Diceros bicornis minor: one gene and its partner. The protein of the gene in region 1 purifies or fractionates together with the protein of each later gene. This does not show direct contact. Links are inferred from orthologs where the notes say so. Each region holds a gene or a part of one and is shown on either strand. Other genes may lie near its edges.

Region 1 (16,072 bases):
CATCCTTGTTTGCCGTGTGCCCCTGGCTTCTGGTGGCTGTTTCCGGCCCGCCCACAGCCTCCCTGGCTGAGTGGGCAGCTGGCCTGGAACTGGAATTCTCCCGCCATCCTCAGTTTCAGATGCCTCTCAGCTGTGCCCTCCCCTCCTACCCCAACAGACCCAGATGGGAAGCCCGCTCCCCCACCAGCTGCGGGGCGTAGGGCATGTCACTTTGCCAGTCTAGCCCTTTGTTTCCTCTTCTGAAAAAAGGGATAATGGGACTGACCTCACAGGCTTGTTGTGAAGAATAAAGGTCATGGTATACGTAAAGGGCCTGGCACAATGAGACTCCCAATAAAAACTGTTATCCCTTTTCTCAGCCAGCTCTCCCCATTTTCCTCCTCCAAGAAGTCTTCCAGGATGCCCACTTTCCGCTATCTCCCCATCCCTGTGTCGGGTTCCCAGTCTGAACCTTGGGGAAGGCCAACTGGGTCCTTCTGTGATGGGGACTCTATGATGGGGTTCCTCAGGTGCTGATACCTCCACTAGCTCTTGGGTGTCCATTTCCCTGACATACACTCACTCACGTCCCACGGTGAATGGGGCCCAAGGGACCCACAGGGAGACTTCTGAGTTTTTCAATGGACCAGATTCAATTTGATACACATCATTGACCTCCATTCCAAGCAGAGCACTGTAGTAAGAGCTCTTGGCAGGGTGGAGAGAGAGGGGGTCAGAGGTTGCTTTTTCTGGAGGACAGGGCTGTTGGGGGAGAGATAGCCACTGCCACCCCCACCCCATCTGAATAAAAAATAACATTTATTGAGCTATTACTACGTGGCAGGCATTGTGCAAATTCTCATTTAGTCTCTGGAATGACTCTATGATTAGAGTGCAATTTTTAACTCAATTTTACAGATAGAGAAACTGAGGCACAGAGAGCTTAAGCCACTTTGCTCAAGCTAAAAAGTGACATCTGGCCTAATGTGACAAATGCTCTATTGGAGGGAAAAACAGGATTATGCTGGGGCAGAAAGCATCTGTTGAGACCCAGGGAGCCTGGGAAGATGGTGGGTTTCAGCTGGCCTTGAAGGAAGGGGAGCTGTCCATGGGCTGGAGGAAGCTGGAGCTTCCTCCTTTGCTTGCAGGCAAAGGCCTCGAGAAAGGGGTGAGCAGGCATCTGGGGGATGAAGATCCGCTTGGCGGGCTGGGGCTGTGTGGGCAGAATGTGAGTGTGGAGGGCAAGGGCCAAAGATAAGCAAGGTGGTCATGAAGGACCTCAAGCCCTGGGCCGAGGAGCTGGGCTTTGGGTTTGTTTCTGCAAGGCATACAAGGTTGGACTTTGAATGAGGTCAGATCGGAGGGGAATAAGAAGGCCTCCTGAGTGACAATTGTCTAAGGGAAGAGAAGGGAAGGGTACAGTGTACGGCCCGATGCCAGGTGTTCCCCATGTATGATCTCAGTTAACCTCCCGACAGCCCCCAGAGTTGGGCATGACCATGACCTCTTTGCAAATAAACTGAGGCTCAGAGGTGACCAGAGGTGAGTTAGAGGCTAATGTGCATTGGGCTGGGGGACCCCACTGTCTGGGGTGAGCCAGGGCCCAACTATGTATGCACACTGGTGGCAAAGGTGGGTGTACAGTGCTCTGAGGTCTTCTAAGGCTGTCTGTGAGTGCAGAGAGGAGGGTAGGCATGGAATGAAGTGGGGCCCCTGGGGTTGCAACTGGGGTCACCAAAAGAGCTAGAACAACAAGGGGGTTGGAAGGAAGAAAAGGCAGAGCTCAGGGGCTGGAGCCCAGGGCCAGATGGTGAGAGGCCTGTGGGAACAGGGGCCCCAGGCGGATATCTTGGGTGAGCCTGCTGTGGGCCCAGCCTGACGGCGTGGAGCCAGGCTGGCATGGCCTGATCGTCACCAAATCCAAGGCTGGCTTTCCTGGGGAAAGACCGCTAAGAATTTCCCTCTGCTGGTGGGTTTGGGGTGCACCACCTTGGGGTCCCTCCTAGGCTATCGCCATCCCTGTTCTGGGGCCTGGGGCAGATTGCCAGCCAGTCCTGCACCTCCACCTCGGAGACCTAGAGGTCCCACAGACTCACTGGCTGTCCTTGCTGCTGACTTCTCCCATGTGCCCTGCATCGCACAGCCACCAGCTCCTGCCCATGTCCCTTGCCCAAATCTCTCTCATCTACACCTCTAGTTTAAGGCAGACCCTCACTCCTTCTCATTTCCATCCCCGTATCGGCCCCCAATGGGTCTCCTTGACTCCTAACCAGAGGAAGCTTTTGAATCCACAAAGGCAGTCAGCTCACTCCCGGAGGTGGGGCGGGGGGAGGGGGTTGGGGAGTGAACCCATAAGCTCCCTTCAGTTCCAAGCCAGCAAGCTGGAGTCCAAACTCCCGGCCCAAGTGCTTTCCTGAGCATGTCCCTTCTAGCCAGCTGTGCTTGGGATCACTGCCCCACCGCCCTGCCTATTGCATCTCACTGCCCCCTTGTGCCTTCCAATGCATCTGGCTGGCCTCCCCCAATCCCCACCCCGAGTTCCCTTCTTAGCAGTCGAGGTGGGCCGTGCCCTCACTCTGCCTAGGATCTACGCCTGTCAGGGGCCTTGCCCAGAGCAGTTCTGCCACTGAGGGAACGGCCTTGACATCTCCCAAGTGCCATCAGACTCCTCCCCTCAGAGGAGTCCCTGATGCCCAGGAAAAGGTGGGGATGGGACCCCCAGAGGGAAAAGACCAAGACCCTGGGGGATAATTTTACAGGAAGGTGAAATCTCCTTCATCGTTGCCCCCATCACGATAACAGTTCCCGTCTGGAACCTCTGCCCACCCCACCCACCCCCACTAAGTTACTCTTTGTCCCAGCTCTTCTCCCCTCCAGCACCCTTTCCCTCCCTCCCCCGCCGCATTCATGGCTGCCTGAGTCATTTACACCCTAGGGCCCTGGTTTCTGTGGGCGATGCCGTAACATCCTGCCCCATCCCTGCCAGGGAGCACACGTGATACCCTGCCAGGTAGGGGTCCCTGCATCTTAATAGGAAGTTTCAGGGGAGGGTTGCCAATGGTGAGAACTTCGGTGATCAGGGCTGGAAAGGAGAGGGCCATTATGAGGAAGGGCAACTTCTGCTGCCTCCCAGGTCAAATTCCAGAAGGACGCCCTGCCTTGCACAGCAGACTCGGGGTCCTGAGAGCAGGCTTGTGTCTCCCTGCATTGTAGTTTAACTCCTTAGCTGGCGGAAACTTGCAAGCAGATTTCAAATCGGCAGCGGTAACTGGCTCCATTGCTTTTCTTGCCGCTGGCTGCTCAGGGGTGAGGGGCTGGAGAGGCCGGCACAGGGGCAAGAGGTGGTAGGAGGCTAAAACCTGTGTTACTCAGGGCCTGGCCGTCCAGAGCGGGCGGGGAGGAGGAAGTGAGTCAGTAGGGACAGCGATTCATGCCTCAGAATTCTGACTTTCCTTTTCAAGCCACTGAGCCAAGACGTTTGTCCCAACAGGATCCCGTGGTGGGGGAGGGGCCGGGAGCAAGAGGATATTTATGAGACAGAGCTGGCCTCTCACTCCCCTCAACTGAGCTCCCTTTTTTACGGCCACAAAGAGTATGTGGCCGGCTGAATTCAGCTGGACACTCGGTGGTTGAAGACCCACTGTGTGTGAGAGACTGGCACGGGTGCTGGAAATATGGGTGTAATCAACGGTGAGTTAGCAAGCCCCTCCTGGGTCCCAGTTCTGTTAGTTTTGAACAAACCTGTGAGTCTGGTATGTTAATGTCCAATTTATAGTGAGAAACTGAGGCTAAGAGAGGTGAAAGGACTTGTCCGAGGTCACAGCCCTGCCAGTCTATAATCACACTACAAGTCCAGGCTACAAGTCAGTGCAAGGCCTAGAAGATTCAAGAGTGGCTACGTGTATGCATGCACACGCAGAGGTGCAGGGGGCAGGAGTGAAGGAAGAAAACTCGTGAAAGATTTCAAAGAACAAGTGGATATTTTCCAAGCAGACAAGGGGGTAAAGGGCATTCCAGGCAGAGGGACCAGCATGTGCAAAGGTCAAGTGGCATGGACTGGGCCCAGTGTGTCCATGTAATCCTGCTGGGGACGAGGCACTGAGGCAGAGGCTGTTACAGGGAGCAGGCTGTGGGGACGAGGGGGAGATGCTGAGCCGGTTCTGGACACTCGGAATCTGAGAAGCCTGAGGTCGGCCAGCTGGAGGTGGCTGGTGAGAGTTGGACATCAAGGCTGGAGTGTGGAGGAGCTTAGGCGGGTGTCCCCAGCGTGTAGGAGAATGCTAGTGCACAGGGGATGGTCTGGGGAGACAGAGGGATGAGGACCGTGAATAGAAGCCCAGGGTGGGCTGAGGAGTCTCACCAAGGGGGCGAGGGTGCTGGGAAGGAACAGTCAGGAAGGAGGGCCAGGAGAGGGTGCAGAGGAGTTTAAATGCAGAGGGCAGTCCACAGGGTCACTGCTGCTGCCCTAGAAAGGTCGGGGGCAAAGAACCAAAGACAGCTTTTGGGTCTGCCCATCAGAGGAGGCTGGTGCCCAAGGAGAGAAGGCTTCAGTGAGACGGAGGGGGCTGAAGCCAGGTTGGGGAGCTGGAAGGGGCCACAATAACGCAAGGGAAGGATCCTTACTCCAGGGACAACAGACAGGTGACTCCACTCAGCAGATGTGACTTCTAAGCTGTGGTGTCCTGGAAGACGACTGGGGTGGACGGGAGGTGGTGGGTGCCTCGTGGAGGTACTCACACCCTTGCACCTTGGGCATCTCAGTATTTTCAGCTGTAAAGTGGGGGATGTCTCCACTTCATAGGGTTACTAGAAGATAACATACGTAGAAGGCCAGGCACACAGCAGGTGCTCAACAAATGTTGCTCCCTTTCCACATTCAGATGTACATAAAACATTCAGAGACACGTCGTCACACAGGCAAAAGCGTGAACGCATGCACAAACCCACGTTCCAATCCACATACATGTGGGAGCTCTCCGAGGACAACCACACATGGCCCTCCACCCCTAGTGGAGTCTTTAGGGAGTTAGTAGGGGTGGGGGGCGTAGATGAAGCCCCCTACCTGTCCAGATTTCCCACCTGAGCACAGAACCCTGCCGGTAAAAAGGAATCTCCCCAGGAAATAGCAAGGGCCCTGGGGATTGGGGACTCAGCTCAGCTGGGGCTACCACATGGGCCCCCATGGCCTCTCAACCTTGAAGGGGCCACCTTGGCATGAGATCGAGAATGCTGTAGAGCCCACCAGAGCCCTAATCTCCCAGCCAGGAGGGCAGGGCATGTGCAGCAAGGCCAGGCCATGGGTGGCAGCAAAGGGATCATGAGAGGGTTGGAGGAACTAGAAAGATGGGGGTGGGGTGGGGTTGGCTGGTAGGGAAGTTTCCTGATGTTTGGGGCCTGCCTCCTCTGCTCTTTCCCTCTCCCACCCCTGGCATGCCCCACCACACCTGTACCTGAAGTCCAAGGCAAATCAGTGCCCTGGGTCCTTCTCACTCACCCTCTCCCTCCCTCCCTCTGCCCCTGTCTCTGATCAGCCCGCCTCGCTGCTTGCTCAAATTATTGTACCCAAAATGTTCTAACGCCCCTCCTGCGGCCCCACAAGCACCAGCCCTAAAATACAATGCAATGTGGGATTAGGCTGTTTAAACTTGAGAGCTTTCAGATTGTGAGGCCAGGAGGAAACCCCGGCTTCCCGAGGATGCGCTGGGTCATCTTTGACACCCCCAGGGGTTCTCAGCCCTGTGCTGGTACAAAGCAGGTTGTCAATGAATGCTTGAGGCTGACAGGTTCTGAGCCAGGGAAGTTGCCTGGACCAGGCGCCTGCCTTGCCAGCCCCATATCTGGGTCACAGGAGAAAGGAAATCTGATAAACCCATTCATGCTTCACCACTCCCCCCCCCCGCCCTCCTCCCTCCCTCTTCAGTCATTTGCATTTTCAATTCAAGTCAGAGATAGAGACCCAAGTCTCGCTTCAATAGCAGAGCTTTGATCCACTTAGTTAAACAAATATTAGGAGCCTTGGGACGCAGGGATGCTGGTTGAGGAAGAATGAGGGATTTCCTCCAGCCCTTTCATTTCACAGATGGGGAAGCTGAGGTCTGGAGGAGGAAAGTAACTTGCCCAGGATGAGAGGGCAGAACATAGCCTGCATTCGCCCCCCTGGCACCGCAATTCCACTCCATCGCTCTCTCTCCAGCCGCTGCCTGTGCGCGTCACGTTCACACCTGACCTTCCCGTGAGAAGTGAGTGAGCAAGTGGTGCGGCCTGGGGCTCGGGGACAGCGAGATGGGGCACGTGCCGGAGGAGACAGGCAGAGGAAGGCTGGTGCAAATACATAGAAGGTGCCTTTACAGAATATTTGACGTTGTCGTTGTCGCGACTGGGAAAACTTCACCTCAAACTCAGCCCTGACTCTTCTGCTTTCCTCTCTCCCAAGGCTTCCTCTCCCTAGTCCTTTCCTTCTCCCTCGTCCAGATACTCCTCCTCCAAGGAGCCTTCCTGACCCCGCAGCAGAACCCACAGTTTGCATGTTGTCGTGGTCATCTGTGGTTTGGTTCAGTGTCAAGGCTGATGACACCACACACATACCAAGAGGGTCTGAAAAGGTTTATTATTTACATAATCGAGGTCTCTAGCGGAGCAGGGCCGGCCTCTCAAGCAGGTCCGAAATGGCTTGAGAGAGCAAGGAAAGGAGGTTGCCTGGGGTTTTATTGTGGTTAGGGAGTGAGGTCGGGGTGCGTACTTGTGCGGGAAGGGGTTTACATGGTTTGAATCTCCCAGGGACGCCAAAGGAGGAAGCCCAGCACCCAGGCTTTCCTGTCGGCTTGTCCAGGTGGCAGGCACAAGGGGAAGAGGGAGAGGTGACAGCTTCAAAGCTGTCAGCTGTCAAACATCAAAAAACGGACTCAGACTCCTCATCACACATGTTATTCACATGCCCTTGTTTCTCTCTCCGTGTCTACATTTCTAGGCAGGTCCCTTCTGCATCGGGAAGAGTTGACATGACAAAGTCAACTGAGGGATGAGATGAGGATGTGGATGATAATGTCACTGAAACCAGAGGATTTCGAACCTTTGACATGAACTTGGGATTTCTCTTCCTGCATCTCTCCAGCCCAGAGACCCTTCAGTCTCCATGTCTCCCTCCACCCCCCTTCCATCTCCCCCAGGTTTGAAACTCCCCCACATTCCTTAGCTTGGGTCCTCCCCCTACCAGGCACCCCTGCTCCCGCGCCCACATTCCCTCTGGACACTCCCCTGGAGTGGAAAAACCATCCCTCATCCCTTTCCTGCTCCCAGCCCCGGGATCGGACATGCTGGTCATTCCTGTTTGGGATGGCCATAGAGATAACGCCTGACATGGAGCCCATCTGTCATCACAGGACTCTCAAAGCTATTTCAGGCGGGACCCTTGCCCACAGTGTGTCCACTGTGGCCCCTGAGCTCCCGGCACTGGCTGTCTCCCTTTCTTCTGGAACAAGGTGGAGGACCCAGCAGCCGCCAGAAGGAGAGCAAGGTGACCATTCAACTTCCATCCAGATCAGCTTCCTGTTCCTTGACCTCAGACATCTCCTAACCCCTGGATGCTCTGAGCCACAAGGTGGGCCATGGAGAGAGGCTGGGTGGCTCTGGAGTCACAGTTTGGGGACAAATGCTGTTGTAAAGGCAGATAGCAATGAGTGTCCTCTCCCCAAACACCACAGAGAACGCTGTTATCGCAGCTGGTTTTGTTTAGTTATGTCTAGTTGTCTCACCAACATCTGCCTAGAGTTTCTCTCTTAAAGACACAGCTGTGGTCAGTGGCTTCCAGTCCTAGCTCTGCCTCCTGTGAGCTGCGTGACCTTGGACATCCAGGTTCCCTCATAAGTCAAATGGGGATGATAATCCTGACCTCACAGGGAGGCCGGGAGGATGAAATGAGAGTCTGCACGTGAAATGATTCATAAGCTGTAAAATTTGGCTCAAGTCCCTTCCCAGGCTCTGAATCTAATTTTGTACGCCTAATTCTTTGTTCTTTTCCTTAACAAGGGCTCCAAATTGTACAAGTTTCAGGCCTCACCAAACCTAGATCTGCGCTGAGTATTGCACAAATGTTAATTATTAGCATAAGTGGTCAAGAAGGGCCCTAGATGGGGGCTGGCCCAGTGGCGTAGCAGTTAAATTCACGCGTTCAGCTTCGGCGGCCTGGAGTTCACCGGTTCGGATCCTGGGCGCAGACCTACTCACCGCTTATCAAGCCATGCTGAGGCGTCTTCTATGTCCCACATAGAAGAGCTACAACTCTACAACTATGTACTGGGGCTTTGGGGAGAAAAAAGAAAAAAGAGGAGGATTGGCAATAGATGTTAGCACAAGGCCAATCTTCCTCAAAAAAAAAGAAAAAAGAAGAAGAAGGGCCCTGGGGTCAGATAACACAGGATTAAAATCCGAGCTGTGTGGCTTTCACCAAGTTGCTTAACCTCCCTGAGCTTCAGTTTTCTCATCTTAAAACAGAGATAACACTTCAAAGATTGTTATAAGGATTTAACTTAATATATTTGTAAAGCACTTAGCATAGTTGCTGCTGCATAAGCACTTACTAAATGGTAGTTTTCTTCTTCTTATAAACTCTCAGAGATAGGAGCTCAAAACTGAACTCCAAGGGAGTAAACGCTGAGGGCTGAACTGCTGGACCTAAATAAGAAAGCTCCTTCAGCCTAGAGAAAAGGGGAAATGAGTCTTTGTGCTACAATAAGGGAAACTTGAGGTAAAGTAAGTACATAGTGACCTCTTGAAGGTCCCTTTCAGTTCTTGTCTTCTGCGGATAACCAGAACTTTGGGCCCCGCCCACCTTTCTCCACCTGGTGCCACCGACTACACACCTGCGGGGGCTGCCGTCACCGCCCTGTCTCCAAACACTCAGTCTGAGCCTGAGTGGGAGGAGGGGACCTTTGAAATTTTGCTGTGCTGGGCCCGGAAGGCAAGAGTGGAGAAGAAATGGGTCCAGTCTGGGCCCAGCTCCCTGGCCAGGCAGTGCACTCTGAGAAGCGACTCATTTCCACATCAACAGATACCAGAAGGCACAGACCTTTGGGAAAACCGGTGTCTTGTTGCTAATTACAATTAGCGATGCTTGATTACTACCACTGCTAAATATCAGCCTGGCTTTGCTGAGGGACCATTCCCAGCTTGGATCAGAGTGGGTTGGGGCGGGTGGTCAAGAGAAAGAAATCTCGACAAGGGCAGTGAAGGGGCCGACCGCGAGGAAGAACGCCCAGAGATGGCCAGCCGCCTCTCAGGGACTCACAGCGCGGCAGAGGCGAGTCAGGCATTCTAGCCAGCGGCGCGCGGGTGTAGGTCCTAGATGCGCCAACGGCGGGGCTCTCCGGCGCGGCCGGCAGAAGTGGCCGCGCCTGGAACGGCCTTTCCAGCAGCAGTAGCAGCCGCAGCAAAGCGGCCGGACAAATCCCACCCACGGCCCCGCCCGTCCAATCCATCTTGCTCGAGAGGCAACGCTTCTGGGGAGAAGCAAGGGGCGGGGAGGGGAAATCCAAGCCTTTTGGGGCTCCCGGCAGGTGTTTGGGGGGGAGGGCGGAGTCGGGTTAGGGAGGATGAGGAGGGAGGGGCAGTGCTGCCCCTTTAAGAGGCGGCGGCGGAGCCGGGACCTTTTCTCTTTCCCCGGAAGGAAAGCGGAGCTTGGGCTGGGCGCGCAAGGTGGGGAGGTGCGGGTCTGGGCGTGGGGAGGCGGGGCGCGCGGGGGGGGACCCCTCTCTCGCGTCCTCCTTGCGGTCTACCGGTCCGCCTGCTGAGATCCGCCGCCGAGCCCGGATCGAAGGCGACAGTGAGGCCAAGGGGGCGCGGCCGGGACGAGCTGGGGTGCAGGGTGCCCCGGGCGGAGGGGCGGTGACCCTGCAGCAGGGCAGGCGGGAGAATAGACCGCGGACCTCCAAGGGGGGGATCTGAGAGCGCAGACCCGGAGCGGACGTGAAGCTGACTAGGGCTAGGGGCTAAAAACGGATCAGCGCGGCGGGGCTCAAAGACGCGGCCGGCCCGTGTGTTCTGCGGGGGCGCGGGGAGCAGGTGAACAGGTCCTCATTCCCAGCTCCACGCCCTCACGCGTTCTTGCCCGGGTCCCCGCTCCCGCCCGCAGCCATGGGCCCCGGCCCCCGCCACGGCTCCCGCGTGCAGCACCCGATGCTCTGCGCGCTCGCCTTGATGGTGGCCGCCGGCGGCCGCGTCACCTCCGCCTTCAACCTGGACACCCGATTCCTGGTGGTGAAGGAGGCCGGGAACCCCGGCAGCCTCTTTGGCTACTCGGTCGCCCTCCATCGGCAGACGGAGCGGCAGCAGCGCTACCTGTAAGTGTGGCTGGCGGGGGTGGGGTGGGAGACAGAGAGGGTATGTGTGCAGGGTGCGGATCCGGAGCTGAGTCGCAGCCCCGGGCCCGCTGGCTTCCAGGCCCGCGGGCCGCCGGCTCTTGTGAGCGAGGATTAAGGGGGCGGGGACCCGGGCAGCCCTCTTGCTGCCGAGGCTTGGCGGGAAGTGGAGGGATTGGGTGTGGGATGGTGGGCAGTAATCACTGGCAAGTGCTGACCCGGGCAGTACCTGTCTAGACGCAGCCTCTCAGCTCTTTAAACCTCTCTTGAGAGCAGAAGTGGGGTCGCCGTTTCCTGAGCCCCCTCCCATTCTGTGAACCCAGTGCCTACCAAACCCCTCTTCTCTCCGAGCTGGGAGCTGGAGAAAACTGTAAGATAAACACCTAGTGGGTCCACCTTCCCCCTTTCCTGGGGAGAACCTATAGGCATATGCATTTAGCCCACCCCTGCCTTTACACCTTGAATTTAGTCTGCGGCCATGCCAGCCACACCCCATGCAGAGCCAGACTGGAGGGCCTTCTCAGCTGCTTGGCGGTTGAGGGTGAAGTGATGGGCAAGTCCCCGTGTTTGGAGCTGTCCAGGCGCCCCCTCTGACCCCTGGAGGATGAGGGAGTAGAAGAGAGAGGAGGGGCTTTCCCAACTCCTGCCCCAGCAGCCCCCAGCAGTGCAGCCCTCCCACTAGTCATCTTCCCTGCATTCCACAGATTCATGTTGAATCTTCGACCCTGAGTGTGTTTGTTTTGGTTTGAAGAGGGAAATGGTGTTTTGTTCTGTTCTCCTTCCCCAACAGCTGCAAGAAGGAAGGGGAAGAGCTAGGCACAGGAGGAGAGGGGAAGGAGATTGCATCCAGCTGCTGTGTCCCTGCCCCCCTGCCCCATACACACTCATGCCCAGAGGGGCATGTCCAGGTTTCAGAGGTTTCTCTGCTAGGGGCTCAGTGTGCTGAGGTTGGCAGTTGGGGGAAGAGGGCAGCTGGGGGAGGTGAGGCTGCCCCAGGAGGGAAGGTGGTTAGGACAGGTTAGGCAGGCTCCATCTACCTCTTTGGACTGAGTGAACTACCAGACATCAACCCCCACCTGGTGTCTAACCCTGCCTAGCAAGAGGACGTGGTCAGATAAATGGTGTGTTGAAACCTTTCCCAACTCTGGCTGGGGCCTGCAGAAACTTGAGGAAGCTTGGAATGTCCAAAGTCCAAACTCTGCCCCAGCCTTGGCCCCTGCTCCGCTGGCCCAGCCCCTGCCCAGTCTACCTACCTACTTGGCCTCAGTTCCATCTAGCTTCCGCAGAGGCTAGGGCCACCACACTCTTGCCAGCCTGACCCATCAGCTGGCGTCTGGCCTTGGTCAACCCTGCATCTTTTGGAGACCCTAGGTGACCACCAGCACAAGTTTCTATACTGGTGCTCTTTCTGCCCCATTCCAGAAAAAGATCTTCAGATTTTCAGTGCTGAATCTGCATGATATAAGGCAACATAGTGTAAAGAGATCAGAAAAGCAGAGTAAATACTGGAAAGCTGGTGTAAATAATGGATTCTGCAAGCCCCCCGCTCCCCGCCTTTGCTATGTGACCTTGAGCGAGATATTTCCTTTCTCTTGGCCAGTTTTCTCCAAAGGGTTAGACCTGGATCTATATGCTCCTTCCCACCTCTGGTGGCCTATGAGAGGCAACTTGGCATCGTGGAGAGAGAAGAGGCTCCAGAGTCCCATTGCTAGTCTCCCATCTTGGATCTGTCACTAATACTTGCGTCTTAATTGCCTCACATGTCGGGGAGTGCAACACGCCTTCTTCATGTGGCGGCAGTGGGGCTTGAATAAGTAATGTGTGTAAAATGCTCTGCATGTGCCTACTTCTCCAAGGAGCAGCTGAGGGCTCTGGTGCTAAAGCCAGGACCTGGATCCACTCTCGCTACCCATGGGCCTCCCCCAAGATGGCTGAGCAGAGGAGTTCTACTTTTCTTCCTGGGCAGCTAGAGATGGCATTAGGCCTGCTAAGAGCCCAGAGGGTTCTAAAACTACTGAACCTCAGAGAGGCAGGTAGTTCTAGATAGAGTTCTGGGTCATTCTCTTGGGTATCATCAGTCTTTCCCAGGGATGGTTCTATATCTTATCTCCTCATCTCACTGAATCCTGCCCCTTGGCCCTTTGGGAGAGCCAGCTGGGCCAGCTGGGCTTAGCTGCAGCCAGCTGTGTAGCCAGATGTGAACAGCTGCCTGAGTACACAGCTCGGGGGAACCAGCAAGTCAAGTTGTGGTCTTATATTCTGTTAGCCTCAAAGTCTCTCTGGAAAAGGTAGAGGGTTCATGGTGCTGAACAAACTCTGAGCCTGGAGTTCACAGAAGGTTGTCAGGAGATGCAGGGCCCCCTGAAACTACATGCAAAATCTTGTTTGTTTGTGTATTGTTCTGGGGGAGAGGGGAGGAGAGCATAGCTTTCATCATATTGTCAAAGAAGGCCTTATTCCAGAAATGGTTAAAAACCCAGGTGTGGACCCTCTTTGTTCCCCATCCCCTACATCTCTGGACTGGGGTTCCCTGCCCACAATATCGGAGGCTCACTCTAACCCAGGCCCCAATTTCCCGGTCTTTATAAGTGAGGGGTGAGGAGCAGGGCAGAGGACCAAGGTGCTTTGGGGTTCTTGATGAGATGCATGAGGACCCCTGGGGAAGAGAGGGACTGTTTCTCTGGGAGATGGTCACCGACCCCCCGGCCCCCAGCACCTGCTCTGTCATTCCCTCCTGGGACTTCAGGTATCCTGGTCTGGCCTGACCTTGTGGGCTATGGGAGACACCTCTGGGGCACCCCCATCCCCTTCACCCTTACCTGGAAATGAGGGTGTCTGGAAGCCTGGGGCGGAGGTGGCTGCGGCTCCTGGAAGATGAGGTCATATCTGAGGTAGGCAGGAACCAGGCTTACCTGCTGTGCTCTCCTAAAACATGTTTCCCTGGGCAGGGCAGGCGCCTGGCAGCCTCCAAGGCTCGTGCCAGAGGAAATGGGCATAGCAGTTGTGGCTGCAGGCGGAAGGCCTGCATGTGTAGTGTCCTTTTCCTCTGGCTCTCTCCAATGACCAGTCCAGGCCAAGGAGCTTTAAGTTGGGCAGGAGGTAGGAGAAGCCTGATCTTGTAGAAAAAGAAGTAAAAGGGACTTGCTCAGAACTAAACAAAGGGGGAAGAGGATGTCCATTGCAGTAAGAGGGATTGAGGTTAGATAACATGAAGAACACCCTAAGGGATCAAATATGAAAAAAATACTAAGGAGCCAGGGAGAGGGAGAAGAAATAAGAAAAACAGCCTTTTTCTTTTGTATCGCAAGCTTGGGCCAAGGCCTCTTTCTCTCGCCCTCTCTCATTCTCTCGCTTCCTCCAGCTTGTTGCTCTGCTTCTAGGGCTGAGTCACCAAGGGGAGAGGGGGCTGGGTGGGCAGCGTGAGAAGTAGGGAGGACGGAGAGGGCTGCAGTTTCAGCTACCACAGGAGCAGCCTCTGGGGAGATGGCTAGTTTGGGCAGCAGGATTGGCACAGAGCTAGGATCCAGGCATCTGAGAGGGGCCCCCACCAGCACCCCGAGTCTCAGAGCTGGAGCGGCCCCTCCCCAACCTGCTTCCCAGCCTGAGGTGGGGGAGTAAGGCATGGGGGCCCGCTGGCCTGAGCACTGGGCCCTCTGGGCCCAACCAAGTTAACTGAAATCTTCCCGCTGGAGCCACCCCAGCACCTCCCTGAGGAGTCTGGGAAGTTGAATCTTACAGGCTGTTTCTCTGAGCATTAACCCACCCCAGGGGGCCTCTTCTCTTTGGGGTGAGCCAACCTGGTGCCCTGACACCCCTGGCCCCCATTCCCACCCTCCTCCGACTACTGCTTTCTACTTGGCTGTTCCATTAGCTTTGAACTGCCCCGGGAAGAGGGATGGGGCAGGGGTGAGGAAGTACTTTTCTGGAACTTGGAGCTCAGGGGGCTCCCCAGAGGCCAGGAGGGGCTGTTTGGCTGGAGGCAAAAGAGAGGATGAAGAGGCAGCTGTTGAGAGTCCTTGAAAGGTCATTTCACCCATCCCCCTACCTCCCAGAGGGGTTCCCTACCCGCCCCCAGCCCAGCTTCAAGAGCTAGGCAAAGTATCCCACCTAGCCTCCCCATTCTGACTGCTGCTAGGAGGGTGGGCTCCGTGGTGGTCTGGGAGGGGTCAGCTTTTGGACTGTCTGATCTGGACCAGACCCAATGGCAGAGAGCAGATGTGCTCATCTGCATATCAATTTACATTGCATTGGAATACCAGTGAGGTCTCTCTCACCCTCTGGATTCCCCCACACCTGGCTGTGGCTGGAAGCTGGACCTGGCTCTCTGCACACCCGCCTTCCCCCATCCACTCGCAGTCCTCTGGCTGTGGACCCATTGGATCCCGGGCTGGGAGCCAGAGGGCCTTAAAGGGCCTCTGAGCAGGCCAAGTAGGAGCTAAAAATACTCCAGAGGGGTTGGTGGGGGCTCCCTGTGGAATCTCTGGGGAGGGAGGGGCCTGGGATGTGGGGCTGGGATTAGGGCACTGGCCCTGCCTCCCCATCCATCAGTGGGTATGTGTGGTGCGAGGGCCGAGAGAGTATAGATGCTAAGGGGATTTATTTCAATCCAGTTGTGACTCATGCCCAGCTCTGCCTGTTCGGTAGTTACCCCAGGAGGCTAGGAGGAAGGATCCTTCAGCCAACTCCCTCTGAGATGAGGGACCTGGGAGGGCACGGCCACCTCTTGCCCTGACAACTTGGGCAGGGCAGCAACACCTCCATTGCGCTGTGCGCCCTGGAATGCAACCTGGGCTCCCCAGAGACCCCTCGCCCACTGAGGCCTGGACCTACCCCTTCAAGGCATTGTAGCCAACGCCCAGCCTCCACCTCCAGCCAAATCTGAGCTCCCACCCTAGAATGACTCTACCTGCCAGTGCCCCACCCCCACCTTAGTGATCCCCTGGTATACTTAGGCCATAGAAGTGCTACTTATGTCCCATCATCTGCTCCCTCTGAACACTGAACTAGTCTGCTATTTGCCCTCTGCTGCAGGTTCCCTAACTTGGTGGGGCAGAAATTCCTGGGTGCCTGGAGAGAGGCCTGGGAGTGTGCTAGGGCCAGTTGTGGTGCTACAAGAAATCAGAACAACAGTGCTCACGTTGGCCATGGCTTCATAGTCAGAAAGGCCTTTTGAAGAATGAAGCCATTTGTTCCCCTACCAGCTCCAGAGGCTGGCAGGACCGCTGCTGTCCCCATTTTACAGATGAGGCATTCACAGCTCAGAGAGAGAAAGGCAATTGCCCTTTTAGGCAGAACAAACCCTATAACCAGGCGCTTAGGCTTACCTGTCAGGCGCACCAGGGACGGACATCCACCGGTGGTCAGGCAGCGGACTCACCAAGCACCCTCCCCAGCCCAGACAGAGGGTGACTAACCGGCCTGGCTGCCACACTGGCCCCCTGCCAGCCTTCCTGCTGGCACTCCTAGCACTGCTCTGCGTGGAGCAGCTGCACCCCTGCCCCCAGGAACACTTCCCCAGGGTGAGGTCTGTGCTGAGCTGGGAGGTGCAGGCAGAGGTCCCGCCCCACTCCCGGAACCCTCAGGCAGTGCATTCCTGACACCCAGTGGGCGGAGGCACCCCAGGCCCCGGCATGCCCAGGCCCTGCCCTGCCCACTCCCTGCAATGCTCCCTCACAGGTCCCAGGCCGGAGCTGCAGGTGGGGCCACTGCTCTGCACTTTCAGACTCTGGCAGGAGGCCCAG
Region 2 (16,109 bases), on another chromosome or scaffold:
ACTGGGAGTAAAAGCAAGGAGCTGCCTCCTGAGCAGTTTGGAGGCAAGGGCCTGGGAGGGAGAAGTCATGGGCCATTGGCCTGGCCGGGCCAACAGGTGTTCCCTGGAACCTTAAATATGCGTTGGGTAAGCCTTGAAGGGTTACTTTCCTACAGAGCCATTGTTTCTGCTCCCTTGTACAATGCTTGGCAAGAGGACTGAACAAGGAAGACTTATTGACTTTTTCTCCAAGTCAATAGTCCCCAAACCTCTCTATCCAGGAATATTCTCTGGAATCAAAGAAATCTGGGCCCCTCTCCAAGTCAGACGGCTTCATCCTCCCCTGCTACTTAACCAGGCCGCATACCGCTCCTCAGGAGTCCAAGTCCCCGAACTACCCCCAGGAGACATTTCTCCCCTTCCAAAGCCCTCAGAGGCAAGGCCAGAGAAGGTTCTAGTCTCCATTTGGTGGGAAGGAGGAAGAGGGAAAGACAGAAATCTGCCCTTCCCGAACAAAGACAAATCCCCAAACTATGGGGAAACCTAACCCAAGAAGCAAAACTTGTCTGGAAGCTCATTAAGTTGGATTTTTCGTGTGGACTAGAAATACAGAACACTCATTAAATTAATGGAGAGTCAAAGCCACTCCTTGGGCAATGATTAAGCTGAGAGTCAGAGCAAGGCTAGGCGGGGAGGCCAGCTCTCCAGTCGGGGCTGCTCTTGATCCGAGAACTTTCGGTTCCCTAATGCCTTTCTCCAAGGCCTTCCATCACTCCCCCATGCAGTCCCGGGGGAGTGGTGGGGCAACCGGCTTCTCATGGAGAAACACGGGATTCAAGACAAGAGCATGGGTTGCCTGGAAACCAAGAGACAAAAACCAACATGGGGTATTTATAATGTGAGGTCCATGCGCCTCCAGAAAAAAAGCAAAAAAATGGGCATAACATGTTTCTGGAGGCAGGTCCCATAGATTTCATGGGATTCCCTAGAAAGGTTAAGATCCACAAGTCGAGGATCAGAGCATACAGTACTTAAAAACTATCCAGAACTAAGTACTTTTTTGGTGGGGGAATTATTGGATGGAGGTAATTATTATAAAATTATTTCATCTGGAGACAGGACGCTGTTTTCCACAGCTGCATGCCATCACTTGTTGGAAAAGGAAAATGTCCCTGGACCAGCATGACTTTTTCCATAGGATGAAACAGGCAAGTGATCGGCAGTCAGACTTCACAAACATAAATTAAAAAAATGTATTGTTAAGATTAGCCCTTTGGTCTCCTGAATTCCTCCAGCTGCAAAGGATACCTTGGGGTAGTGGAGAACACACCCCGAAACAATGAGATTATTGCTCTTCTGTATGTAAAAGAGGTAAAGACCGTTTTTCTGCAACGCCTTGGTTGAGAAGACCTGTGGCGGGTCCAAATAAAGTCCCACTGACCCCAACCTGGGCGAGGGAGGAACACAGAACATACATATGCAGCTTCCTGAAACTTCTCCACTCTCCTCTCCCCAACTCGACATAGGTTTATCTAGAACATGCAGCCACCAAGGAGGCAAAAGGACCACAGAAGCCACGGTGACCGTGACCTCAGGTCCCTTACCCTCACAGCCAGACACACCCAGGAGAGACAGTCCAAGTTTGCGTTCTTTAGAAGAAAAGGTGCTTCTGTAAGTCCAAGGTGTATTATTAAGTTCCAAACTGTGCGGCTGATTCCAAAAGCCATGCCTCCTTATAAAATGGAATCAAACAGGAAAACAGACAAATCAAACACGGCACACCCAGCTCTGTGTGTTAAGAAGGAAGATTCACATCTGACACAAAACGAAGATGTGAGAACACTGATTTGCGAGATCCGAGGCCACAGAAGACTCATTTAGCAGAGAAAGAGCTCTGGCGAGGATGGCGTTCCATAGGGCCACTTAACAAAGCAGGTCCAAAAGGGGATGGTTTGGAATGGTGCCGTGAAAAGAAAGGGTAGAGTGTGTGTGTGTGTGTAGAGGAACCCTTTCCCTCCCCCAGATCAGGAGTCAGATCTTTGTTGTCCACAACCACTGCAGAGAAGAGCAGGGGAGAAGCCATGAACGTTGTGGGCAGGGAGAAGTCCTATTTTCCTTAGCAGATGCAGACACCTGGCCTCGCCTCACCTCTCCGCAGACCTGCCAGCTTCAGCACAAACACAGCCGGCCTTCCCAACGCTCTGGCTGTCCGGTGGCCAAAGGTGGGGAGCCATTTTACACAACAGCCCAGCTGCCCGCTCAGCGCCACGGTGAAGGCAAACAGCTTCTGGCTGAAGCAGCAGGCTGCGTGGGAGGGGCTTTGGCCCCCCCTCCCCCCCGCCCCCGCCCCAGTCCATACTCTGCCCAGACCCAGAATCCTGAGGTCTTAGGGTTTCTTTGCCGTGTAGTTTTATTTTCGGAAGTGGAGACGCCCCACAGTCAAACTTGTAGCCACACATGAAATGGAGCCAGTGTCCTGATGTGGGAAGGCAGAGGCGGGGTGGAAGGAGGCTGGCAGTACAGCAGGAAGAGAAGGACAAGGGAGCAGCATGTGAGGATTCGGGGTGTGCTCCTGGCTACATCTGTGGTTCAGACTTCCACCCTTCTTAGGGAAGAGCTCCCACCATCCTCACCGATCTACTTCCAACTGGTGAATAACAGCAGCACCAGCTGGACAGTTAACTCCGCACCTAGTACTAGGCTACTGTGCTAAGTGCATCCCATCCTTTCTCTCATTCACCCTCACAGCAGCCCACGGGGCGGACACCAGCTCCATTTAGTGATGGGGAAATCGAATCCGGAGCTGGTGCTCTGACCATTGGGCCGTACTACCCCAAATGGCTGAGGGTGATGAAAAAAGAGAACCCCCAAACAGAGACCTCACTCTGGGTGAGTAGAGGGAACTGTGAGGTTAAGAGGAAAGTGACGCAAGAAGCAGACCCCAGAGGTAAAGGTCAAATGATGCCAACCTCTGAGGACAAGCCTCAGTACCCACTGCACATTTCTATTTCCTGGCTCTTATTGTGGGTTGTGTGGGGAGGTCCCATCGCTGTAGGCAGTGGGGGTAGGGCTAGTTTCGTAGACTGAGCAGAAGGGAGCTTTTGAGACCATTTGCTTCAATCCATTGGTTTTACAGATGAGAACAAAAGTGACCTGCCCAAGGTTTCAAAGTGAGCTGGGGACAGAGCTGGTGTGAAACCTAACATCAGGTCTCTGAATTTCCAGTCCAGGTCTCTGCCCACGTTTCCCTGAAGCCTCCATTAGGTCCAGGAGGCACCATTTCTTGGGAAAGAGAAATCCCCTGCTATTTCCATCAGTGAGGGAGCGTGAGGGGTGAGAGGCAGGGAGCAAAGGGGCATAGGGAGGTGGGGGTAGGAACTTGGCCCTCAATGCAGGCCTAGGATCTGAGAGGAAGGGGGTAGAGGATAGACACGTTCCTGACCTGGCCCTAGCACCGGTTCCCCACTTCACAGCCTGAGACTCTACAACTCGGACATCAGGAAGATGTTTTCCCTCTCAACCCTTTTTGGGGGTGGGTAAGCAGAAGGTCTGAAGGAAAGGCACAAACAACTGAATCAGAGCTGGGAAGTCAGGGTTCCGGGGTGTTGGAAGAGCAGACCAGTTGCTGGTTTGCTGTGGGCATCAGAGGCCCTGCTTGGGGAGGGCAGGCAGTGCAGGCTCAGCCGACACTCAGGGTCCCACAGGGACGAGAGTGGGGGCCAGGGAAGAGGTACGCCCCATCCCCAAGCCACCCTGATCGTCTCACTGCCACTGAGGTGGGCTTCCTCTCTCTGGATCCCTGCTAGACCACCCTTCTCAGCATCCTCTGCTCATGAGGTGCTAGTGGCCCCCAGACTCACAACTCCTGGTTTTCAAGGCCCATATCAGGTCCCAAGTGCCAAGTTTATAAATTCCTGGTCTCAAGAGAGAAAGGGAAGTGGTGACTTCATAACAGTCCAAGTAGTTCCCTTAGATCATAGATTCCCTTAAAAGATATTTTTTGAGATTGTTCTCACTCTTCTTCCTTTCCCGCCCAGCTGGGCACGGCAGCAGGTTGTGATGGAAAGTGCGCTGGACTTGAAGCCAAACAGACCTGCCTTCAAACTTACTTCTGATGCTATCCTGCCCCAGGACCCTGGATAAGTCACTTAACCTCTCTGGGGACTAGTTTCCTGGTCATCAGTAAAATTAGGATAATGCTTCTTGCTCTGGTTCTATCATGGGACTTGGAAAAGGACTCTGCAGACTGTAAAATGCTGCACAAACAGATGATGATATTTCTTTATTCCATCCTCTAGCTCTAGAGGGCTTCATCTCTACAGGGACCTTAATCCAGAACTACTGAACAATAATTAATTCAGGAAAACGTAGCTACTGCTTACCCCCCTACACCAGCCCATTACCAGGACCCTTGTTGGTTTCATGATGGAGATGGAAGAGGACAGGACTAAAGCAAGGGGCCAGGGGCTGTAGCATTGGCTCGGTCTCTGTGATCCTGGGCAAGTCACCCCCTCTCTGGTTCTGCTTCCTCACTGTGAAGAAGAGGGCTGGACTGGATGATCTCTAGAGTCATTCCTAACTCTACACCCAAACATCCCCAGAGTGAGTCATTTCCATTTCATAGCTGGTCACCTAGCACCCAGCCCAGGCAGGGGAAGCTCGAATCCGGGTGGGGTGGCAGGTTGGAGATGGTAAGAGACTGAGCAGACACCGGCGTGGCCGTGGGAGCCTCCCATCAGGCTGGTAGTCTGTGCTTCCCTGCAGCCCCAAACCCTGATGCAGCCGAGGCACATAGCTGAGCACTAAGCAACAGACTGGCAGGGGAGAGACTGCTGGGAGGGGAGAGGAAAACTCCCTAAAGGACGGGTGGGGAGGGCGGGGCCAGCCCACCCTCCGACATTCTTTTCTGTTGCGCTGCCGGGGGCTGGTGAGGAGGAAGCGCAGCCTGGCAGCTCGCTGGCTGGGGCTGCTGGGAACACCAGGAGGGTCTCCCTAAAGCAGGCCAAGGTTGGGCGGGGCACACCTGCGTACCATTCTCACCAGAGCATGTGTTGGGTGTGGTTAACTCTTGCAAGGAGAGGTCAGTTTCTTACTCCGTCAGCTCCAGAGAGAGGATTAAATCAGGAGATTTGCCCCGAGGTCTGTGGGGACCCCAGTGACCAGCTCCCAGACGAATAAGTACATTTTTTTGTTACAAGCCTCTGGTGGCATGCCCCTGTTCCTACAGCCACCTCTCTTGAGAGTGGCACAGGGGCTGCCTTTCCCAGCTCCTTCTCGACTGCGGAGAGGCAAATACTGTCTATCTGTGTGCAGGGGACGTGGCCCTCAGAACCAGGACACAAAGGTCCCCTAACCACCCCAGGGGAGGTGTGGAGGGGACACTCCCCTTTCCTGCTGCCCTCCTCAGGCTCCCCATTTGCAGAGAGGCTGAGCGTGGCCAGCAGCAGGAGTCCTGGAGCTCCCTGGCCTGGTGTCCTCTCCAGGTGACCGTCCTCTCTGTGGCCCGGCCTTGCTGCTGGGTGGGCTGGCGGGGAGGGGGTGAGGCCGGAGGCCCTGGGGCAGGCACCTGATCTCCCCAGGGAAATGGAGAAACACAGGACTCATCCCCCAAAAGGCCCCAGTGGGCACCCGCCCCTCTTCTCCCCAGCTCTCCCGGAGTTCTCTCCAGTTCAGATACTTATCGCCCCTGAAAAAAAATCAAGACAAGCTAGTCTTTCAGGTAGTTTCGAGGGAGCTCCCACTTTCTCACAGCGACTCAGAAGCAAAGTCTGAGAGAATGCGGGCCTGAAGGTTCCTCCTCAAGGGTGGAGATGGGTCCCCGACTCTCACTCAGGGGCTGGGTCCCGAGGTTCTGACCCCGCGGCCGGCCCGCCGCTTCCTCTCCAGTGCAGAAGTGCCAGCAGGTCTTAGCTGAGCTCTCCCTGCCCCACCCCACCGAAGTCCCTTGGCGCGCCCGCATCCTTCCCTCCTCGCGGCCCTGCCACTTGTGAGACCCCCACCCCGCTCACAGTCTGCCCTGCCCACCCCAGTCCTCCTTGCCGGGACCTTGAGTTCCCAGAACAGGGGTGCTCCCTTCTCCCTGGCGCCTTCCCCTGCTGCATTCGGAGGGGTTTGGGGTGGGAGTGGCCACAAACCCCATCCCAAACCCTCGGTGAAGGAGAGGCCCGGGACCTGTCCCCAGACTCGAGCTCACCAGGCCCCCGTGGCCCCCTGCCCACTCGGCTTCGAAAGAGGCTCCTGAGAAGGTGCCCGCCTCGCCCGCCCCGGCCCTGGCCGAGGAGCCAGCTGGCGGCCGCAGTGCCCATTCTCCTCCCGCCCGAGTCTACCCGGCTCGAGCAGTGCCAGTTACCCGGGCCCCCGACCGCGCACGGGGTCCCCAGGGCGAACAGGTGGCCCCGGAGAGGAGCGCGCGGCAGTCGCGCTCACTCACCCAGAAAACGAAGTTAAACCCGAAGAGTAGGTATTTGATGCACTTGGTGCCTCCTTTGACCGGCATGGTGCGGGCTGGACTGGTCGGGGCCGGACTAGTGCGGGACGGGGGCGCGCGCGGCAGGGACGGGCGGGACCGGGATTCGGACAGGAGGTGCTGGCGGCTGCAGGCTGGCCTCCGGGCTGCACTTTTAAAAAGTGCCACTCCTTAGGGCGCGCGGCCGGCAGCGGCGCGCATGTGCCGTGGACCCGCCCCCGCCGACCCCGCCTACGGCCCCACCTGCCCCGCCCCGGCCCGCGCCCCGCCCCAGCCAGGTTCCCGGGGACTCAGGCCCCAGACCCCTGCCCCCGAGCCCACCCTTCCTTCTTACCCCTTCTGCCCTCCGCTCAGCCCTCTCCCCACCCAGTTGGCCGTACCCTCCTTCCCGCCATCCTCCCCACCGTCCTGGGGTCTTTCCAGACCGCCACCCCTGCTGCTTTTACCTAGGAGTTATATGGAGGCCTCGCCCTTCCGGTTGTCGCCTTGTTGATTCTGCGCTTTCTGCCCGAGCCCTCTACTGCGGGAGACCTTCCCTGGGTCGCCGGGGTCGTCCTGTACCCAGGGCTGCGGCCTGCAGAATGAGGGCTCTTCTTGCTTTGGCCTCCATTTGAAGGGAAGCTGTCTGGCTTTATTTCTCCTTGGGACAGCTCCTTGCAAACCCTCGCTCATCGAGTACACTCTTATTTGGCACATCATAGGGAGTAGGAGGAATTAGAGGCGTGCGGTCCGGGTGGGAAGATAGGTGGGAGGCTTATGGGAGTAATTCTCAGATACTGATCACGGAGTAAAATACGCCGAGGGTCGGGCAGTCCGAGAGTGCCTCCCGGACTTGTGGTTTAGATGCCCGGAAAGGGGAAGAGATCTCTGCACAGCCCAGCGGGGCATGTGGCATGTGCCGTGTGCCCTCTGGCCTGCTGGCCCTCCCCTCTTCACTTGCGGAAGTTCTGTGGCTCCTTAAACATTCCTTTCCTGTTTCACACCAAAGGATGAGGAGATTTCTTCTTCTTTTGAAGTCCCAAAACCTCTCTGTATTTTTTTCAAAATGAAATTTCATTTAGTGTCGTTATTACAAAAGCAAAACCTACTCGTTATGAAACATCAGAAAATATCAATAGGGGCCGCCCGGTCGCGCAGCGGTTAAGTGCACACGCTCCACTGCGGCGGCCCTGCCCGGGATTCCCGGGTTTGAATCCCTGGTGCGCACTGACGCACCGCTTGTCCAGCCATGCTGTGGCAGCGTCCCATATAAAGTCGAGGAAGATGGGCACAGGTGTTAGCCCAGGGCCAGTCTTCCTCAGCAAAAAGAGGAGAATTGGCATCGGATGTTAGCTCAGGGCTAGTCCTCCTCACAAAAAAAAGAAAATATCAATAAACAAAAAGAACAGAACTCAAAATTTCAGCAGTGTAGCTCTTATTTTGCTCTGTTTATTATCATCGTTAGATTTGTCTTACTGATTCGTTCGTTCAGAAACATTTTCCAGTAGCCGCTTATGAGAGTATACCCTTAGGGGTAGGAGGTGGTCCTGTTTCTGCACTCTAGGAGCTTGCAGTCCATGGGAGAGGGATTCAGGCAGCCAGACGATGGGATGCGGGTGCTCTGTGGGTCATAGAGATAGGCTTGGGGGTCTGGGGGGCTAAAGGAGGAGCTTCAAACTGGGAAGCAGTGCTGCAGAACCAGAGGGAAGGGTGTTAGAATCACAGGAGAATCTTAGGCAAAGGCTGGAGCTGGGGCTGGCTGGGGTCTGGGCTGGAGCTCACAGCGTGGGGAGGTGTGTGGGGGGTGAAGGTGGGGACCTAGCTAGGGATGAGGTGAGTAGCCCTGTGGTCCTGGACTTTGCACTCTGAGGGGAGGGGCCCCTGAAGGGTCAAGCAGGGCACCCGTTTAATTAGCTGTGTGATTTAGGTGGCTCCCTGCCTGCACTTTAGGTAGCTGGGCGGGGCAGGCAGGAGGGGCAGGCAGCAGGCCCCTTGAGGATAAGGACCATTGTTTGTGTCTCCAGCACTTGGCTCTGAGCTGCAGGGGATTAGACTGAAAGTTGAGGTGTTGTATCTGGGGACCTGCAGTTGGGTAACGTGAGGGAAGCTGCGAGAGATGAGAGGTGAGCTGAGGACGGTGTGGAGATCGGCTAGGAGGCTGTTGAACAGAGAGGAAGAGAAGTGAATTTAAGTGGGGCAATGGGGCAGAGGGTGGAGAGACTGCAGCTGAACCAGAAGAGGGGACAAGGTGTGTGTGTGCGGAGGGGAGGGAGAGACCAGAGTCAGAGCAGCAGGAGCCAGATTATGGAGGACTTCATTCATTTGTTCTTCTTCTAACGTTTCTTGAGAGCCTATGATATGTCATGTACTGTCTGTATGCTGAGATGAAATGACCTCTATCCTTCATGGAAGAATCTCAGTATAGGCCAGAGAAGTAGCAGCCCACGGGATCTTTTCGAGGGAGATGTGCCTTGGGAACAAGTAGGGGCACAGAGGGCGTCCTCAAGTCTGCCTGAGTCAGGAGAGGCTTCCTAGTGCAGGGGACACGGCAGCAACTGACTTTGAAAGGCGAGGTCAGCTGACAAGGCTGGAGAGGGAATTCCAGGCAGAGGGAACTGCATGTGCAAAGGCACAGATCGTGAAACCACAGGCCGCTGATGGCGCTGGGGAAACTCCAGCAGTGGGTGAGATAGGAAAGGAAGGAAGATGAGGAAGGAAAAGCAGAGAAAACAGGGTTCCCTTCAGTTTCCCTAATGTTCAGAGCCGCCAAGCAGAGGATTTTGGTAATGCTTCACCTTAGTCCGTCACTCTGATCCAGTATCCACTGAGGACAGCTGGGGCACCACAGTGTGAGCACTGGGGGGAGGGAGAAAAACAGACAATGTCCCAAACAGACAATGTCCCATTGTGCTGCTCTTGGCGGTCCACCGGTCCTGGGAGAACAGATCTAAGGAAAGAAGAGATTTTATCTCTTGATATTCTCCTCTCTGCCCCCAGCCACACCATGAACAAGCACAGGTGGGAGGAGTTCAGTAAATATGTAAGCTTACAACAGAAACTGCTCCTGGGTAATTGTGAGTATTGAATGAAGTAATCCACAAGGAGGGCTTAGTACAGCGCCTGCCACAGAAGTGCCCAAGCAATGTGGGCTGTTGTTACTGTTATTATCGACACTCAAGAAACAACTGGGGGGGCCTATAGTTAAGCGGCAAATTAACACACTCAAGAGGGTCCTCCTAATGTGAGTGAGGAGACCTGAGTTCTCTGCTTGGTCCTGCCCTTTGGTTTATTATGGACAAGTCAGCTCCTCTCTCTGGCCCTCAATCTCCTCACCTGTACAGTGAGCATCATTTTGCCTTAGAGATGTCAAGGTCCCCTCAATTCTGACATTCTGTGGTGCAATAATCCTCTGGGCCAAAGTGTGTTTGTTACAGGCATTTAGTTCTACAGGCAACCAGGAAAGGGAGAGATGGAAAAAACATGGTTTGCTTTAACTGGAAGGGGAAAATCTGGGTAAGCCCCTGAGTCAGAGATCACATGGAGGCAGTGAGCGCTTCCAGGCTTTGTGGTGCAAGAGTGGGAAAAGTTTTCCTCCCTTCCCTCAGGGTGTCCTGTTTCTGGAACAACCCCCCTCTCCCTCTCCCAGCCCCTATGGGCTCAGGCTGAGGGTCCACTTTGGCTCTTTTGCTCCCCCTGGTGGTAAGATTTCAACATGCAGGGGCTAGGTGAGCTAATGACTGGCCACACCCATCGCCCTGGGGCTGCTCATCCCTCAGCTGTGGGAGGCAACAGGCAGGACCCACACCCCCCAGGCCTCTAAGGCCCTCCCAAGCACCACACCAGTGGCCATTTGGGGCGTGTTTTCTCCTTGATGCTGCTGCAGCATTTGACCCTGCTGACCATCCCTTCTTAATAGACACTTCTCCATCCGTGTCCCTGGTGCTATACCATCTTGGTTCACTCCCTTTCCTTCTGGAAATTTCTGTACTGCTCCTCTTACTAAGCTCAAATGCCACCCCTTCATGAAGCCTTCCTTGAACACTCCAGTCTTTTCCCCCATGGAGGGCCTTGTTGGAATCTCTCTCGTGTGCGACTCATTGAGCTTCATCACTTTCTCTTGTGTGCACACATTTTGGCGGTGAGCTCCTCGAAAGTACGCTTGCATTTGATTAATTCTGTGTTCTGCATAGCACCCAGGCCCTTGTAGGCCCTCTGTCAACGTGTGTGGAAAAACCAAGGGAGTGGCTCTTCCTCGGTAGTCCTTGGCCCCTGCTCCCCTCTCTCAGCTCTCTCACTAAACTCTCGTCCCCTCTTGATCCTCCCTCCATTTGTCTTTGGAACTGACCTCTCCCTAAACTTGTCATGATATCAGAGGGCCTGTTGTCATTTCCACTTTACTGGGCCCCCGAATATGCCCATGTCCCAGTTCCTGAAATCCACGAAGATGCTACCTTACACGGCAAAGGGGATTTTGCGCGTTTGATTCAGTTAAGGGTTTTGAGATGGGGCAGGGAGCCTGGATTATACTGGTGGGCCTGATCTCAAGAGTCCTCCTAAGAAGAGGCGGGAGGATCAGAGCCAGGGAAAGAGATGTGAAGGTGGAAGCAGAGATCCCCGTGATGCGGGCCACGTGCCGAGGAACGCAGGCAGCCTCCAGAAGCTGGAAATAGCAAGGAAACAGATTCTCCGCTATGGCTGCCAGAAGGAACCAATGCAGCCCTGCCAGCTCATGACTTCTGACCTTCAGAACTGTAGAATAATATGTTATTTTAAGCCACTAAAGTTGTGGTAATTTGTTACAGAAGCAATAGGAAACTAATATACTTATCTCAAAATAAACATCAGTATCAGAATTCCTAATCCGCGAGGGCCTCCCTACCCTGGAAGCCGACTTCCTTTCTCCTTAGCCCTCCCACTCTTCCATCAGTCAGCACCGAACGTACCTCACCTGTGACTCCTTCTCCCCGGAGTCCCACACCTGCTTCGTGAATGTGGTCCTTGCTTCCTAGTGTCTCTCATGTCGCTGCTGGGAGGTACCAGAGAGGCTGTCCAGTTTGAAGATGAGGAAGCAAGTCTAAGGCAGGAGACAGTGATTTAGTGGCTGAGGAAAGATCAGACCTCAGGTCTTCTGATTCCAGCCCCGTGTTAGCTTGTCAGCTCTCATTCCTCCTACTACCACCCAAGATGGGGGCCATGTCTTTGAAACTCTTCTTCAGCCCAAACGAATGTCCTCCCCTCCGTCCTTTCTCCCTGTCATTCTCCCATCCAGTCTGCACACAGCACTGGACTGTCTGTCCATGTCATTGGGCTTGGGCAGTTCTACTCTCACCCGTAACTTCTGTTCGTTGCATTAAACGCACGCATAGTCCACGTGGAGGCCACCTGTGTAGAGTGAGGAGTTTATGAGGATTTCACGGAGAGGTGGATGAGGGTTGACAGCTCACATGACAGAGAGCACCATTCCAAAAACCCCTTTTGGATACGTCTTTCTTCAGACTTCCATTCTGTGGCGGCCACTCTTGCCTTGTGTCCTGCCCTCCACCCAGCCCTGCCAGCCTTCTGGCCCTCGCTCTCCTGTCCTGGAACAAGGTAGCTGTCACCTAGCCTTTCCAGTTTGTATTGCCGTCTCCCATTACCCCAGCTCGGCAAAACAAGTCACAGGTCTCAGGAGCTGTCCTCTTTAGAAGACTGGGGGTCAGGAGGCCTTGTAAGTAACTAATAGTTAATATCATCCTTTCCTCATACTCCTAAAGCTTTGCTCTTTTTTTTTTTTTGTGAGGAAGACCAGCCCTGAGCTAACATCTGATGCCAATCCTCCTCTTTTTGCTGAGGAAGATTGGCCCTGGGCTAACATCCGTACCCATCTTCCTCTACTTTATATGGGACACCGCCACAGCATGGCTTGACAAGCAGTACTTCTGTCTGCGCCCAGGATCTGCCTACGAACCCCGGGCCGCTGAAGTGGAGCATGCACACGTAACCGCTATGCCACTGGGCCGGCCCCTGCTTTGCTCTTTCCTCCATTTCTCCTGCTCAAAAACCTCCCAACTCCTCTTACTTTTAAATTGTTGGACGTAGCACTTACCACCCTCTAACAGAGTGGAGCATTTTCTTAGTATGTGTCTTGTTTCTTGTCTGCCTCCTCCCACTAGAATGTAAACTCCACTAGAACGGGCAGTTTTGACTGTCTTGTTCCCAGATGGATCCCAGTGCCTTGAACAGTGCCTGACACACAGCAGGTGCACAATAAATACTTATTAATTGTATGAAAAGCTAATGTCCCATTCTAAGATTACCATAAAAGCCCTCTGGTCTCTTGTCTTGTCCTATATTTACAATTCTGCACCCTCTCTTGGGACACTGCATGCACTCTCGCATCTATGCCTGGGCTCCCACCTCCCCTAACCTCAGCCCTGGCCCCTGGCCCGTCTTCCTCTCTTCTCCCCCTATATGCAGCCTACCCATCTTTGAGGCCAGCACGGCCCCTGCATTCCCCAGCATCCTCGGTCATCCCAGTCTACTCTGACCCTCCCTTTCAGTGCTCCTGTAGCAATTTCTTTCTGATTCACCCACTGGTCTCTGATCAGACGTTGTCCTAGGTGGTTAATTTCATGTTTCTTTTTAAATTATTTCCCCAGTCAGATTATCAGCTCCTGTAGTATCCACAGTAGGTACTCTGCAGAAACTTAATAAAAATAAGTCAGAGAACTAACGCTGGAAGGGCACATATGATGTGCCAGATGCTGTTCTAACTGCTATATAGGAGCTCATTTAATCTGCAGATGACCCTGTGAGGTTGATAGTCTTATTATTTCCATTTTACAGATGGGGAAACTGAGGCACAAGGAGGTTAATTAACTTGCTAGGAAGCAGCAGAGCCAGGATTTGAACCCAGGTGGTCCAGCTCCAGAGCCCAGGTGCTGAACTACCTCTTCATGGGGTGAATGGATGTGTTAACACTGGCGCTACTCTTTGCCTTTCTTGCCCTTTGATTGTAGAGGTGGTTGGCGGGGGGCTGCAGGTGACGCCCCAGGGGTTGTGCCATCTTGAAGGTGCCTCCCAGCAAACTGACTCCCTGAATCTCAGGGGCTGACAACAGATGGTGAGTTTGCACCTTGGTCCTGCCTCTGCTGGTGTCTGTCCTTCTGAGCCTCCCCTTCCACAGCTGAGGAGAGGGGAGAATTACTGCTTTTTCTCCACCATATGGAGTGGGGATGGCTGCTGACTTCTGTTCTGGGGGGTGGTTCTGGATTCAGGAGGAGGACCAGAGGCTGGACACAGGCTCCTCCTAGAGGGGCAGTGTGTGTGTGTGTGTGTGTGTTAAGACCTGGGACCTTAGTATGTGGATTCAGGCAGATATGGGCAGGTAAAATATAGTTGAGATGAACCTGAAGGTAAGAAGCTGTCACTAATGTCCCCCTGGGGCCTAGGGGAGGGCTCAGAGGGAGGGAGAATATTGCCATGGAGTCATTGCCTACAGATCAATGAAGTCTGGACCCCACTTCGTGGCACAGGATGCCCTTGGTCATCTGGCCTCTACTGCTACCGTCACCCGTTCCCCCTTCCGGCACCTTAACTGCTCTAGACAGTTTGCACTACATTCCTTCTTTCCTTCTCTCTCTTTCTTTCTTCATAACCTTTTTACTTTGGAATAATTTTAGGTTTATAGAAAAGTTGCAAAGATAGTACAGCTTCCCCTTATTAACATCTTATATAACCATGGCATATTTGTCAAAACTAAGAAGTTAACATTGGGACAATACTATTAACACTGCAGATTTTGCTCAGATATCGCTTAGAGTCAATTTTTCCACTAAGGTCCTTTTCCTGTTCCAGAATCCAATCCAAGATCCCACATTGATTTACTCCTTTGATTCCTTTTAATTCTCTGAACTCACTGGGCTCATTCCCATCTGTCTCTCTGCCTTTGACCCTGTCACGATCTTTGTCTACAGTAACTTTCCTGTTCCCAACAAATTCCTATTCATCCTGCAGCAACTTCTCTTTTAGATCAGGGATAATGTGAGGAACTTGGTAGGAGTGGGGTTTGGGGATCCGCCTGTTAGCAATATTATTAAGTGGGGAGAATTGCCACTCTTCCACACTCAGGATCTGCTTTGACTCTCATTTGGATTTTATGTATCCTTCTTTATGCAAATTTGAGCAAATACTAATGTGTATTGTGACTCCCTCCCTGCTCTCCCAGCCACGGTTATTCAAGGGGATGTGTCTACAGGTCACTTTCACAGGACAGTGCAGGCAGCTGGTGGCAGATCTAGAAACAGAACTCAGTCTCCTTACTTGCAGTTTCATTGGCTCCCTTCATCCTTCAAGATTTACCGTCTCCACTTTCCTCTGTTGTCCAGTCCGGGTGTGCTTTGCTAGAACACTTGGCTCAGTGTGTTTGGTGGTGGGTTTCCTGTGGTTTCTCACCAGTCTGCATTGCATCATCCTTGACTTGGGGGACTTTCCTCAAGCTGCTCCAGGCTAGACTGTCGCTGGTGTCCCCACTACCCTTCCACCCACCACTGCCAAGCAGGCCAGGAAAGCCCCCAGAATGCCAGACCCCTGGGCTCCCGGACTCCATGCACCACCTGGGGCTTTGGTGGGGCCTTCTGCCCCCTATCTTCTCTGCCCCCAGTTCCCCACTGCGGGGGCTGCTTTCTCTCACCCACCACCCTTTGGGGCCTTTTGAGAGCTAACTCTTTGTGAAGCTTTAGATTTGCATTTTCTTCTAAATTTAACTTTTATGTAGGTCATTCATTTACATGATTAAAAAATTATTAAAAAAAAGTTTTGTGGGCAATTAGGGAAATTTAAACAGGGACTAAGTATTAGATGATATTAAGGAAATATTGTTAATCTTATTAGGTGTGATGATGGCATTGTGGTATGTTTTTGAAAAAAACGCTATCTCCTGGAGATACGTACTGACATTTTTATGGCTGGAGTGACGTGATGTCTGGGATTTGCTTTAAACTTCTCAGCCCCTTCCCAAAGAGCGAGGAGATAAAGGACACTCGAATGGCGAAGTGGTGGTGATAGTTGATGCCAGTTGATGGGTGTGGGATTCACTACACTATTCTCTCAGTTTGTGTGTGTGTTTGAACACTTCCATAATGACAAAGTTAATCTCCATCCAGCCTTGTCCCCTGTCAGCCTAGCCCTCCCCCAATAATCGATACTGGTTTTCATGTGTCGTTCTTTATGCAGAGACTAATATATATGATTATGCACTCCCCAACCTCACCATTTTTAGCACCTTGCTCCTGGTGCACTGGCTTTCCCCTTCTTTATTACATGCAGTAGGCAGGATGATGGCCCCCAAGGATGTCACCTCCTCATCCCTGGAACCTGTGAATACATTACTTTAGGTGGAAGAAGGGACTAGGCAGATGTGATTAAGGTTAAGGCCTGAGATGAGCAGATTATCCTGAATCATCCAAGTGGACCCAGTCTCATCATGTGGATCCTTAAAATTGGAGAATCCTTCCTGGCTGTGGTTGGAGATGTGACAAAAGGTCGGAGAGACACAACAATGCTAGCTTTGAAGCTGAAGGAAGGGCCACAAGCCAAGGAATGAGGATGGCCTCTTGCCACTGGAAAACGCCAGGAATCAAATTCTCCCCTAACGCTCCCAGAGAGGAATGCAGCCCTGTTGCCACCTTGATTTTACCCAGTGAGA

Evidence for each region.
Region 2: the proteins of ITGA3 (region 1) and CD9 purify together in Homo sapiens (affinity purification with western blotting; 3 studies listed by BioGRID and IntAct, with this or other methods). This does not show direct contact. The link is inferred for Diceros bicornis minor from reciprocal best matches to the Homo sapiens genes ITGA3 and CD9.

Annotation. Positions count from the first base shown.
Region 1 is NC_080757.1:36,216,696-36,232,767, reverse strand, and holds the start of ITGA3 (integrin alpha-3), read left to right. Parts: upstream 1-9,786; 5' UTR 9,787-10,107; coding exon 10,108-10,313; intron 10,314-16,072.
Region 2 is NC_080756.1:55,469,502-55,485,610, forward strand, and holds the start of CD9 (CD9 antigen), read right to left. Parts: upstream 6,577-16,109; 5' UTR 6,476-6,576; coding exon 6,410-6,475; intron 1-6,409. UniProt on the Homo sapiens protein: Integral membrane protein associated with integrins, which regulates different processes, such as sperm-egg fusion, platelet activation and aggregation, and cell adhesion.